Caenorhabditis elegans: one gene and its partner. The protein of the gene in region 2 interacts with the protein of the main gene of each other region in a pairwise test. Each region holds a gene or a part of one and is shown on either strand. Other genes may lie near its edges.

Region 1 (3,471 bases), on a different chromosome or scaffold from region 2:
CTCGACACGACCAGTTTTTGTAAATGCGGTGTGCGCCTTTGAAGAGTACTGTATTTTCAAAAACTCTGGTTTTTTTATCGATATTTCATACCTTACGCAGCAACCCGAGTTTAAAGTTACAGTACTCATTAAAGGCACACACTTGCATTCAACAAAAATGTGTCGTGTCAGGACCGGGAACCACAATTTCAAAAGTTCAAATTTTAAAAAATTTCAGCACAATTTCCCAGCCAGAATTCACCAGCTTAACCTCCTCTCTGCCCAAAGATGATTTTTATACGAACATCGTATTCCAGTGCTATAATCAATCATTTTATCACATTCGAGACGCCGGCCTTCTTTCTGCAGAATCCACGTGTGTAAATGCTTTTGATTGTGAGCTTTCACAACGAGAAGCGATGCCGTGTACCCATTCAGATGCCACGTATCACTCCGGGCCGCCCATGTTTCCAATCACATTCCATTGGGCGAGTGATGCATTCTTTAGTGATGAGATTGGATGCTATCAGTAATTGGATCTTTTTTTTAATCAAAATAATGTATTAAAGCTTATCGAAAATTGAAAATGTAAATTAACATAACATGAAAATCAAAAAGTGAGCAGTGAGGTAGAACTATAAACATAATGAAGACACTCGAACATCAACGATTACTCAATTTCCGGCTTGATGCGCTTTTCTGGGATCATGGCTGGCTCGGCTGGCTGGATCTGAAAAATTATTTTTTGAAAATTTATCTTTAAAAAAAATGTTTTAATTAGCTACCTGCTGAGCTTTCTTGTAGCTCTGAAGCGCCGTCGCAAGAGCATTCGCACTTTCGATGATTATGACCCATGTGTCGACTTCAGTGATCTGCTGATCGGTGAAAAAATTTCTCTGTAGAATTGTGTCGACTGCATTGTTGAAGAATCTTTTGTACTCGAGAGCTTCTTCATTGGGCTCTGGCTCTGGCTCTGGCTCCAGCTTCAGCTCCAGCTCCGGTTGGGGCGATCCTGAAGCGTCGCGGGAAGATGAGGACGTTGTTGAATTGGAAGTCGACGGCGACAGAGACTTGTTCAAAAGACGATTAAGCTTGAAGCCGGCTCTTTGAATTGGCGATTTCAGCAGTGATCCCGGTGAATTGCCGGATTTCGCAATCGGGTTGGCGTCTCCTGGAGCTCCGGTTTCCTGTATGGCCTTTGCGTGTTCGGTGAGGGCTTTTTTGTTGGAAAACGTCCAGTTACAGCATCCGCAGGTGTATACTTGACCCAAGTAGTGCTCATTTCTCATGTGATCACGGACGGTCTCCTTCAGGTAGAGCTTACGGGCGCACAGCATGCAGGTGTACTCGTCGCTATGCACCAGTTTACGATGGCGGTTGAGAGAAGCGCCGTGCTTGAAGTTTTGGCCGCAGGACAAGCAGAGGAAATCGCCTGAAAAATGGAAAAATTAATGTTTTTTTTTAATTACAAAAAAAAATAAAATAAAACTCACCTCTGAGATCCGGCCGCTTAAGCTCGCTTTCTTCTTTGCGAAGCAGTGACGATTTTTCAGCGAATTCCGTTTCGAAGCGGTCGATAAGGGGCTTGTGATCGGAAGTATCCATGAAGCTGATTTTCTGAAAGAAGAGGACATTTTGAAGAAAAATTTTAGAATTTTACATCAATTTACACTCAAAATAATAAAACTGCGTTGCGTGTACGCCAAAATAGGCCCCGCCTTTTTCTCGTTCACTCACGGGGAAAAGGCAAAAAGCGGCTGGTGTAGCCAATATCAGCAGCCGACATCATTCGAGGTCCGCGCACCACACTATTTTTCTCACTGTTGGCGTGGCGAGCTGTCCCCCCCCTCCCATATTTTTGCCTTTTTCCCGTGAGTGGACGATTAAAAGGCGGGGCCTATTTGGTCGTACACGCAACGCAGTTTTATTATTTTGAGTGTAGAAGAAAAAAGAATTTTTTTACTGACCTACAAAATTTTTGCAAGGATAGTAGACTAAAAAAGCTTCTCACTAATCACATTAATCATATAATTAATAAATAATATTTTTAAACGAAAAAAATCTGTAAAATTAATTAATTCAGGGTCGACGTCGTTTAAAAGTGTTACTTCTTTGTTTCTACGCTTGTAAAGTAGGTTTTCAATCGATTATTTGAATTTATCTTAATTTTTTCTTTATATTTCAAAAAAAAAATACACTGAAAACATGAAAAATCGGTGAAAAATGAGTGAAAATAACAATAAATATTTAATTTTAAATAAAAATAAAAACGTGCAAGCGCGCTCCATCGAACGAATTCTCTTGGCGGTAATTCAAATTGCAGTTCGGGCAAAACTGAGATTTTTCCAATTTTCAAAAAGTCATATAAAATTTAGAAAAAAAAATTGAATTTTTTTACTATGATATTTGGCCATTGTGACACTATAGGCATGTTTTAAAGCAATTTTCCCACTGGCGCTACTTTGTGATTTGATTTATTTCGACATGAAAAAAAAGGAATACAAAACCGGTACAGTAAGTTACTGCAATTTCTTCATTTCAAGACCCATAAATATGCTCAGCCATATTAGCAACTTTATGCACCAGAAGCTTCTCCAGCTCCCTATCCAGCTCGGTTATAGTGAAGTTGTCGCCGTAAATCCAACCATTTCCGATACTATTTCTGACGGAGGTCATTCGGTAGTGTCTGAAAATGTCAGTGTCGATTTACGCGGCTCGTGTACTCCTCGAGGACAAGTGTGCGTTTTTTGGCAAAAATTTCCTGATTTTTGGCCATTTTCGGTAATTTTTTCTACAGAATTTCCGCCTAAAACACTAAAAAATTAGAAAATTCAGTCTAAAATGCTCACTATTTTCAAAAATAATACACAAAAATCGGCAAGAATTTCAGTAAAAATTCAAAAATCTCTGCAAAAAACAAATGCACACTTCTCCTCGAGAAGTACACGAGCTGCTGCTTGAATTTACATATGACCGTGTTATTATACACACGCGAAACTTTGTGATTTTTGAGCTAAAAATACGATATCTGGTCTCGACACGATAATTTGTATTTTCGAAGAGGTGTGCGCCTTTAAGGAGTACTGTACGTTGGTGGGCTCTTCATAGTTCTTCGATAAAAAATATTATTCTGCAGAAAACAATCGAAAGAAAATTCCACTGCAACAAAAGTTTGCAATTACAGTACCCATTAAAGGCACACACCTTTTAGTATTAAACAAAACATTTTCGTGTCGAGACCGAGTACCATATTTTGGTCCAAAAATCGCAAACTTTCACGTATGTGTAAAACCTACCTAAACCCGGCAGTCTCCCTGGGAACATTTTTCACGATAACGCCGGGATACTGTAGATGAGTGTGATGGTAGGTTTGTACGGCGACCATTTCCGGGCGGTATATACTTTTTGAAGATTCCCAGATTTGAGTTCTAGTAGTGTTCCGGAATTTCAGCGCCTCCAGGTTTTCGATGGTGTCTTGCAGATTGGTGAATT
Region 2 (7,506 bases):
CAAATTAAATTTGTTCCCTTTTTTTGGTTTCTAGACACTAATTACGGTATTAATTGGTGAAGTTTTTAAAGATCCTACTTGTTATTTAGTTAAGATTTTCAAATAAAAGCTCTGTTGAATTTGAATAGCCATTGAATTCACGTAATTTTGGGTTAAAAATTTTTTTTTTCAATTTTCAGTTGTTCAAAAAAAACTTTTACGGGTTTTTGATCCGATATTCAAACCTTTTTGATTTCGAAAAATTTTGGCGCCAAATTTGAAATTTTATTTTAAGAAAAACATAGTCTGGAAATTCAAATTTTAATGGTTTTTAAGTTTCGGTGGGAAATTTAAGTTAAATTTCCGGCAAATAGGCAAAACTGCCGTAATTAAAAATTTCCGACAATTCGGCAAATTTGCTGGAATATTTCAATTCCGGCAAGTTGCCGTTTTGCCGGAAAAAAATATTCTAAAAAATAAGTTTTCTTCCAAATTTTTTTTAAACCTCGTATAATCGATTTTTCTTCAAAATATCCAAATTCAAAAAAAAAATACAAGTCTTTTATTGTAAAGGCATTCGGTGTGTGTAAGGGAGCAAAAAAAACGAATATTTGGGTGGGGGTTTAAGCACCAAAAAAGAGGGTAATTTTGGACAAAAAAGTCCAAAAAAAAGTACAAAAAACAAAAAATTATTGCCATAAAAAGTATCGATCCATAAAAAAAGTGGGGAATTAAATTATGACGGTTTTGAGTGGGGAGGGGTGTAAAATGCAAAGGATGATTTTCAGAGATTTTTGCGAGAAAAAAAAATTATTATGATTTTCGAATTGTATGTAAAAGAACAAGTGAAATTAGATGCATATAGAAATAATAAAAAAATTTCCAAACAAAAAAATTTGCGTAATAAAATCAAGGATAGAGACAGGAAATAACACACAAAGACAGGAAAAAAAATCAATAAATCGATAATAAAACTTATCTGATTTCTCGATATAAAATAATAATTATTTTAATTATTAAAACCTTTTTTCACTAATAAATTGGGTGGGGCTTTTGGTGGGTCTGTTTGAGATAAAAATTGCACGCGTATCGGAGAGTACAGGAATATTTGAGGTCTAAAAAGGGGGAAAGCAACGAAAAAAAAAAAAACTTTTCACGGAGCCGAGACCATTTGCTTCGTGGGCGACGAGTTTTTGCTCAGCGGGCCAGACAGCGCTTCACTAATTGAGGTATTCAGGGAGGTGTTGAATTCAAGGGCGTTGCTCACTTCCATGCATGCTGGATTTCTCTGAAAATTTTTTTCCAAAAAAGTTTTGGCTCGAAATTCAATTTTTTTTCCGTAAAATTTTGGCGCAGAACTCAAAATTCGTTATAAAAAAAATTGGCGCTAAACTTGAATTTATTTTCTAAAAAAATTTGGCGCGAAATTCTAAATTTTTAGTCCGAACCAAATTAATTCTCAAAAAATTTTGGGGCGAAATTCAAATTTTTAAACATTTGGCGCTAGATTCAAATTTCTTCAAAAAAATTATAGTAAAATTCAAAATTTTTCCAAAAATAAATTTTTATTTTTATTTCCAAAAATTCAAATTTAATTTTTGTTCTAAAAATTTTTCTGGCGCGAAATTCAATTTTTTTTTCGGTTTTTTCCAACATTCAACAAAAAAAATGGAAATTCGTATTACCTGTCTATGCAATCGAAGACCATTTTGTGTTGTATAATTGGTACCGCATCCTCTACACTGATAGGCGTCCGGATTGGCATGAATCTTCTGATGGAGCATTAGAGCATGCTTTTGGGTGTACGAGGCCTTGCATTTGTCACACTGAAAAATATTGGATGTTGGTTGAGGCTTCAAGACTATAAACTACAATTAAAAAAAAAATGTTGAAAATTGTGATTGAATTGAAGCAAATTAAAGAAAGCGAATTTGAAATAATTTGTTTTTTAATTTGAAAATCTTCGATTTTTTATAGGAGGAATAAGCTTAAGCCTACGCCTAAGTCGGAGCCTAAGTCTGAGTGTAAGCCTGAAGCCCAAGCCTAAACCTAAGCCTAAACCTAAGCTTAAGCCTAAGTCTAATCGTAAGCCTAAGCCTAAGTGTAAGCCTGAAGCCTAAGCCTAAACTCAAGCCTAAGCTGTACACTTAGTCTAAACCTGAGACAAAGCCTCACATTAAAAATACTCACATTAAAACGCATTCCAATATGCGTAACAAAATGTCGATGCACTGATCCTTTCTCCTTGAACACCTTATTACATCCATCCATCGGACAAATATATCCAGCACCATTTTCCGACTTCGGAACCTTCATCGGTGTGCTCTTTCGCTTGCGAGCCGCCGCTTTCTGGTCAGCTGACGAGGTATTCGCATCGAGCACATTCCCGTTCATCGACTCGGCTAAAAGTGATTCGAACATTGCCAGCGAGTCAAGTGAGGCTGTTGGATCGGCTGGTGGTGATGGTTGGGATGATGACGTGGATCCGTCATTTTCACTGGAGCCCGCGTCGAGGATCGCATTGCCGGCTTGTTGGTTGGCGAACAGAATCTGGAAATTGTAAAGTTACGACTGCAAATATTTCGTTTTAATAATTTTATTAATTTTAGACTACAAACCAGAATTGGGTGGCAATTGCCGTTCGGCAAATCGGCAAATTGCCGGTTTGCCAATTTGCCGGAAATTACAATTCCGGCAATTTGCCGATTTGCCGGAAAAATCGTTTTCCGGCCACCCCTGCTACAGGCTACAGGATATGTATATCCCTCAACCTGATCCAGTTTTCGCAAATTTCGTTCATATTGATAATCAACTCTGTAGTTTGTAGTGCCCCTGGACTTTTAACCTCAGACTACAAACTACACAACCAGATGCTCTTTGACCTGTAGGATGTCGGCCGCCATTGCAATCAGCAGTATTTTCAGTTTTCTCAACAAATTAACATAATTTCCATTCGATCTGATTTGTAATTAAAACGTACGGTAATACGAGTTAATTACAGTACCACCGTCCAGATAATGTCAAGGAATGTATCTATGTTAGAGCGGCAAATGAGCTGTGAAAAATGAGATTTGCCACACGTCATTAGGGACTACAAACTACAATTTTTTTCAGCCTCAACTAACAGGGTAACTCTTTTTTGGTTGGTTTCGGGATTTTTTCCAAAAGGCGGAATTTTTTCCAAAATTGAATGAAATCTATAATTTTCAGTACAAAATGGAGCCATAAAACAAGTGCGGAGTCAATTTGAGACTCCGCCCACTTCTTGGTTTTTTCGCCATTTTGCACCGAATTTTCTCTCAAATTCTAGGTCTCCTTCACGGAGTTTGTCAAAATTTTTTAGAAATTCAAAAATTCTTACAACCAAGAAATAGGGGCGGAGCCTAATTTTTAGAATTTCCGCGTCTTGGTCCCGCCCATTTCTTGGCTTTTTACCGTTTCTGACGAAATTTTTGCGTTTTAAGCGGGGAATTTTTCCATAATTTTCAAGGAAAACCTAGAAAATTCAGTTTTCATTAAAATGGTTCCTCCTACAAATAAGAGCTGTAACTTGACAGGTAGGCAAAATGTCTAGTTTGTAGTTAATAAACATTAAAAAGCGCGGTTCAAGTCTGGTATTTTGCCGGTTTGCCGATTTGCCGGTTTGCCGATATAAATTTCTCAAATAAATCCCTACCTGCAAAAAGCTGGTCAGCACCGCATTCTGCTCCTTATCCTCCTCATTCTCTTCCGATGCAGGCGTGACTGTAGGCGTCTGGCCTAGAAGCGATGCCTGAAGGAATTGATCGAGCAGAGCAGTGTCTTGGAGTGGATTCTCCAGTTTTTCACTCAATTCCAGCTTTGTATTCGACGTGGACGTTGTCGTCGACAGGATCGACTTCATCACAAGATCATGCTCTTCTTCCTCTTCCTGAGGGGATTTCGAGGAGCTGGTGGTGTTGGAGTTGCTGGAGCCGTTCGTTCCTGCCACAATCGCATTGATCACATCGGCTACATCCGTCGGTACCATCATCGTCTGATTCGTCTCATCATCCTCGGCGCTAGTGTGTACTGAACTGCTCACGGATCGGATGCTTCGTGATTCGATGGACGAGCACTCGAGCTCTTCGTCATCGTGATCGCCGCCGGCGGCAGACGGTTTTCGGCGCGGTGGCTCTTCTGATGATCTGTGTGATACGGTAGTCGTTGTGCTTGTCGCACTGTCATGACAATCCGAGAGAAGGCCGACAGATGTTGCGCCACATGTTGTACATTTCTGTAATTAGAAGAGACAATGAAATTAATGAGGCACTGGGGATGTGTGGAAGACGGAGGGGAGGGATAATTCGATTTGGCTCAAGTTAACATTATACTTGAGTGAGGCTAAGACTACAAACTACAAGAATTTTGTAGTTTGTAGTGTTTCTAAAAATTTTCGTTGTAGTTCGTAGTCCAAATATTGAAGAAAATAGAAGTCGTGTTGATTTCGGTGAGGCTAACACTACTACAAACTACAAACTTTAGCAGAATCTCAAAGATCTGTGTAGTTTGTAGTTCTTGTGTTGAGGTCTAGACTACAAACTACAAAACTTGTTCAGCCTCTTTGTTTGTAAACTTTGTAGTTTATAGTGTCTATGTTGAGGAATAAATATCCTAGAAATTTCGATTTTTTACATTTTGAAGCCAGAGCCATTTAATGTAGTTTGTAGTATCTATACTCCATACTACAAACTACAAAGGACTTAGACTACAAACTACGAAATCAAGTTGTTGAAAATTTCGTTAAAGTTTTGCGATTTAATTCAATTTTTAGCTTCAACTTTTCAAATTATATTTTCAAGCTAAATTTGTAGTTTGCAGTCACCGGATGCTAAACTACAAACTATAATGTTCAGACTACAAACTACACACACACAATTTTGAGCATTCTTGCACAATTTTTTTCAAATGCTCACCATTTTCCCGTTGAGCACATCATTCATCGCTTTATTGCTCTCGATGCATCGTTCCAGTGCTCCGGTGATTTTGACAAGTGTGCATATTACGGTAGTGCTGTTGGAGGGAGTCTGAAAATTGAAAAATTGGTAAATGGCTGAAATTTTAGAAAAAGCGGTGATTTTTTAGTTAGAAGAATTTTTTTAATTAAAAAAAAAACCAAAAAAATGGAGGAGCGAGTGACTACAAACTACAAAGCTTCGTTAGCCCAACTTTTGTATGGTTGAGGCTAATAAAAGTTGTAGTTTGTAGTCCATTTTCATCCTTTTTTCTCCATTTTTTCAGTGATTTGGACTAAAATTTTATGAGAAAACCGAAAAACTGTCTTAAAAACGTCAATTTTTGATCGTTTTTCTTCAAATTTTCGGGTAGCCGCACCTGTTCCTGAACATAATCTGTCCCATTGCTCTTCATACCGACCATCACACGTTTCAGACATGTGACAGCCTGCATAAGATCCTCGCTAACACGTTCCGACGTCGTATCCGGTCCCATTTGTTCTTGATGATGGTGATGGTGGTGTAGGTGGTGGTTGATGGTATTCTAGTCTAATTTTTGGCTGAAAATTGGGAAAAATTAGCCGGATTTTTGATTTTAAGGGAGGTTTTTAGAAAAAAAATCGGTGGAAAAAGGTGGAAAAATGCACGGAATTAGAGAAATGGCAGGGAAGTATTGAAAATTTGAATTTTTCAAAAATTGAGTTTTTGGGAGCAAAATTCCAACATAAAAATTTCGGAGAAAGTGTAATTTCTGCGGAAATTCGAAAAAAAATTACAAATTTTAGAGAAATTTTTTAGTGAAAAAATGCGTTTCGAAACAAATTTCTAGCCTAAAAATTATAGAAATAGCTCAAAATTAATGGAAAAATTCGATTTTTGGAAGGGAAATTACTGGAAAATCGGGAGCAGAAAATTTGGAAAATCACGTGTTGCCAGGCCGTCCCATTACGGTTTGATCTACAAAAAATGCGGGTTTTTTTTTGCTCAAAAAATGTGACATTAGCACGTTCTTAACCATGCAATTTCTTGTAGATCAACGTAGATCAAACCGAAAGGGACAGCCTGAAACCACGTGAAAAATGCAAAATAAAATTGGGAAATTACGGGAAAAATGTAGTGAGAAAAAATGAAGAATTTAGCCGCAAAAAATCAAATTTCTATTCAAATTTCGAGAATTTCAAGCGGAGAAAAAATTGAAAAACAGTGCGAAAACTGTGGAAAATAGTGGAAATTAAGTGAAAATGTAGAGAAGAACCCAGAATTAAGCTGGAAAAATCAATTTTCTAGTCAAAACCCAAAAATTTCAAGATGAAAACAGCAATCTGTAATGGGAAATGTGGAAAATAAAGGTCGAAAACTGGGAGGTAAGCTAATTTTTTTTCCTAAAACAGCACAATATGTCAGGATAGGTAAATCAATTTTGAATTGAAAAATTCTTTAAAAAAATACATTCCGAGCTTATAAAAACCCTAATTTTCAGCTCAAACTATCAGAAAATCCGTAGATTATTCAAAATAGGTATGTTTGGACCTCTACAAAACCTACAATTTTCTCACTGAATAGGGGGGTCCGAACTGAATGGGTGAAGGTCAAGTACCTCTGAAAAGCGAAAAAGGACCCAGTATTACTCAGAGAACATATGCCAAATTTCTTGAAATTCATCACAAACTGCGAGAGAGAGAGATTGCAGAGACACCAGCCCCCCGCGCGTTCAAGGACGACACACAATTTTTCTCTGCAATTCAGGCGCAGCTGAATTCAATGATGACACTCTCCTACTCACGGATGGATAGACGGACGGGACGGTGCCCGGCGCCCACCGACACTCCCGTTTTTCTGTACGGGTGACCTTCAAGGTGGCCCCCACCACCACACCGTCCGTTTTTAGAGAGACAACGACATCACCGAATTACCAACACACACACGTTTTTAGTGTATGTGTCTAAAATTTCCGAGAAGATGTCGAAAGATTCGAGGGAGATTTTTTGCACATTGGTTGAGGCTAACTAGTTTTGTAGTTTGTAGTCACTCAGATGCAAATCGTCACGGTAGGTTTGCTACCTGTAACTGATGCTTCAGAAAAATTCCGACAAGATTAGGCTAACCAAACTTAATAGTTTGTACCAGGGGCTTCCGGTTTTCGGCAAATCGGCAAATTGGTAAAATTGCCGGAATTGAAAATTTCCGGCAAATCAGCAAACCGGCAAATTGCCGCATACCCCAAACTTTGTAGTTTGTAGCCCAAATACCGGATTCTCGAGTTGTCTAAAAGTAAAAATGGTTGAGGCCAACAAACATTGCAGTTTGTAGTCTCGGCTTCACCAAAAACAGGGTCTCAGCTAGGTGTCTAGTAATTCCCAGTAGAAACTTTGGTTGAGGTTTGCTCAAAAATTGAGTTTCTCAAAACCTCACGCAACTACAGAAGTCGATGCTGGAATCGAGCTCAAATGAAAATTGGTTGAGGCTCAAAAAATTTGTAGTTTTTGTAGTGCTCTTTTTCGGCGCCAATTTCATCATTCCTCCTTAAAGCTGCTTAATCCCCCATTCCCCCCCA

What was found.
Region 1: the proteins of ztf-6 (region 2) and ztf-28 interact in a two-hybrid assay, tested with the Caenorhabditis elegans proteins (one large-scale study listed by BioGRID).

The regions. Positions count from the first base shown.
Region 1 is NC_003283.11:2,088,794-2,092,264, reverse strand, and holds ztf-28 (C2H2-type domain-containing protein), read right to left. Parts: upstream 1,597-3,471; 5' UTR 1,585-1,596; coding exon 1,473-1,584; intron 1,412-1,472; coding exon 765-1,411; intron 710-764; coding exon 650-709; 3' UTR 525-649; downstream 1-524. Other genes in the region: gtnt-26 (Glycosyltransferase family 92 protein), read left to right, coding at 218-512; gtnt-27 (Glycosyltransferase family 92 protein), read right to left, coding at 2,518-2,665, 3,276-3,471.
Region 2 is NC_003279.8:11,204,928-11,212,433, reverse strand, and holds ztf-6 (Zinc finger protein ztf-6), read right to left. Parts: upstream 5,513-7,506; 5' UTR 5,449-5,512; coding exon 5,332-5,448; intron 5,025-5,331; coding exon 4,914-5,024; intron 4,235-4,913; coding exon 3,656-4,234; intron 2,530-3,655; coding exon 2,170-2,529; intron 1,806-2,169; coding exon 1,665-1,805; intron 1,268-1,664; coding exon 1,133-1,267; 3' UTR 529-1,132; downstream 1-528. Other genes in the region: ins-36 (INSulin related), read left to right, coding at 1-8. UniProt on the Caenorhabditis elegans protein: Probable transcription factor, involved in regulation of dopamine neuron lineage specification. May play a role in maintaining robustness of the Wnt/beta-catenin asymmetry pathway.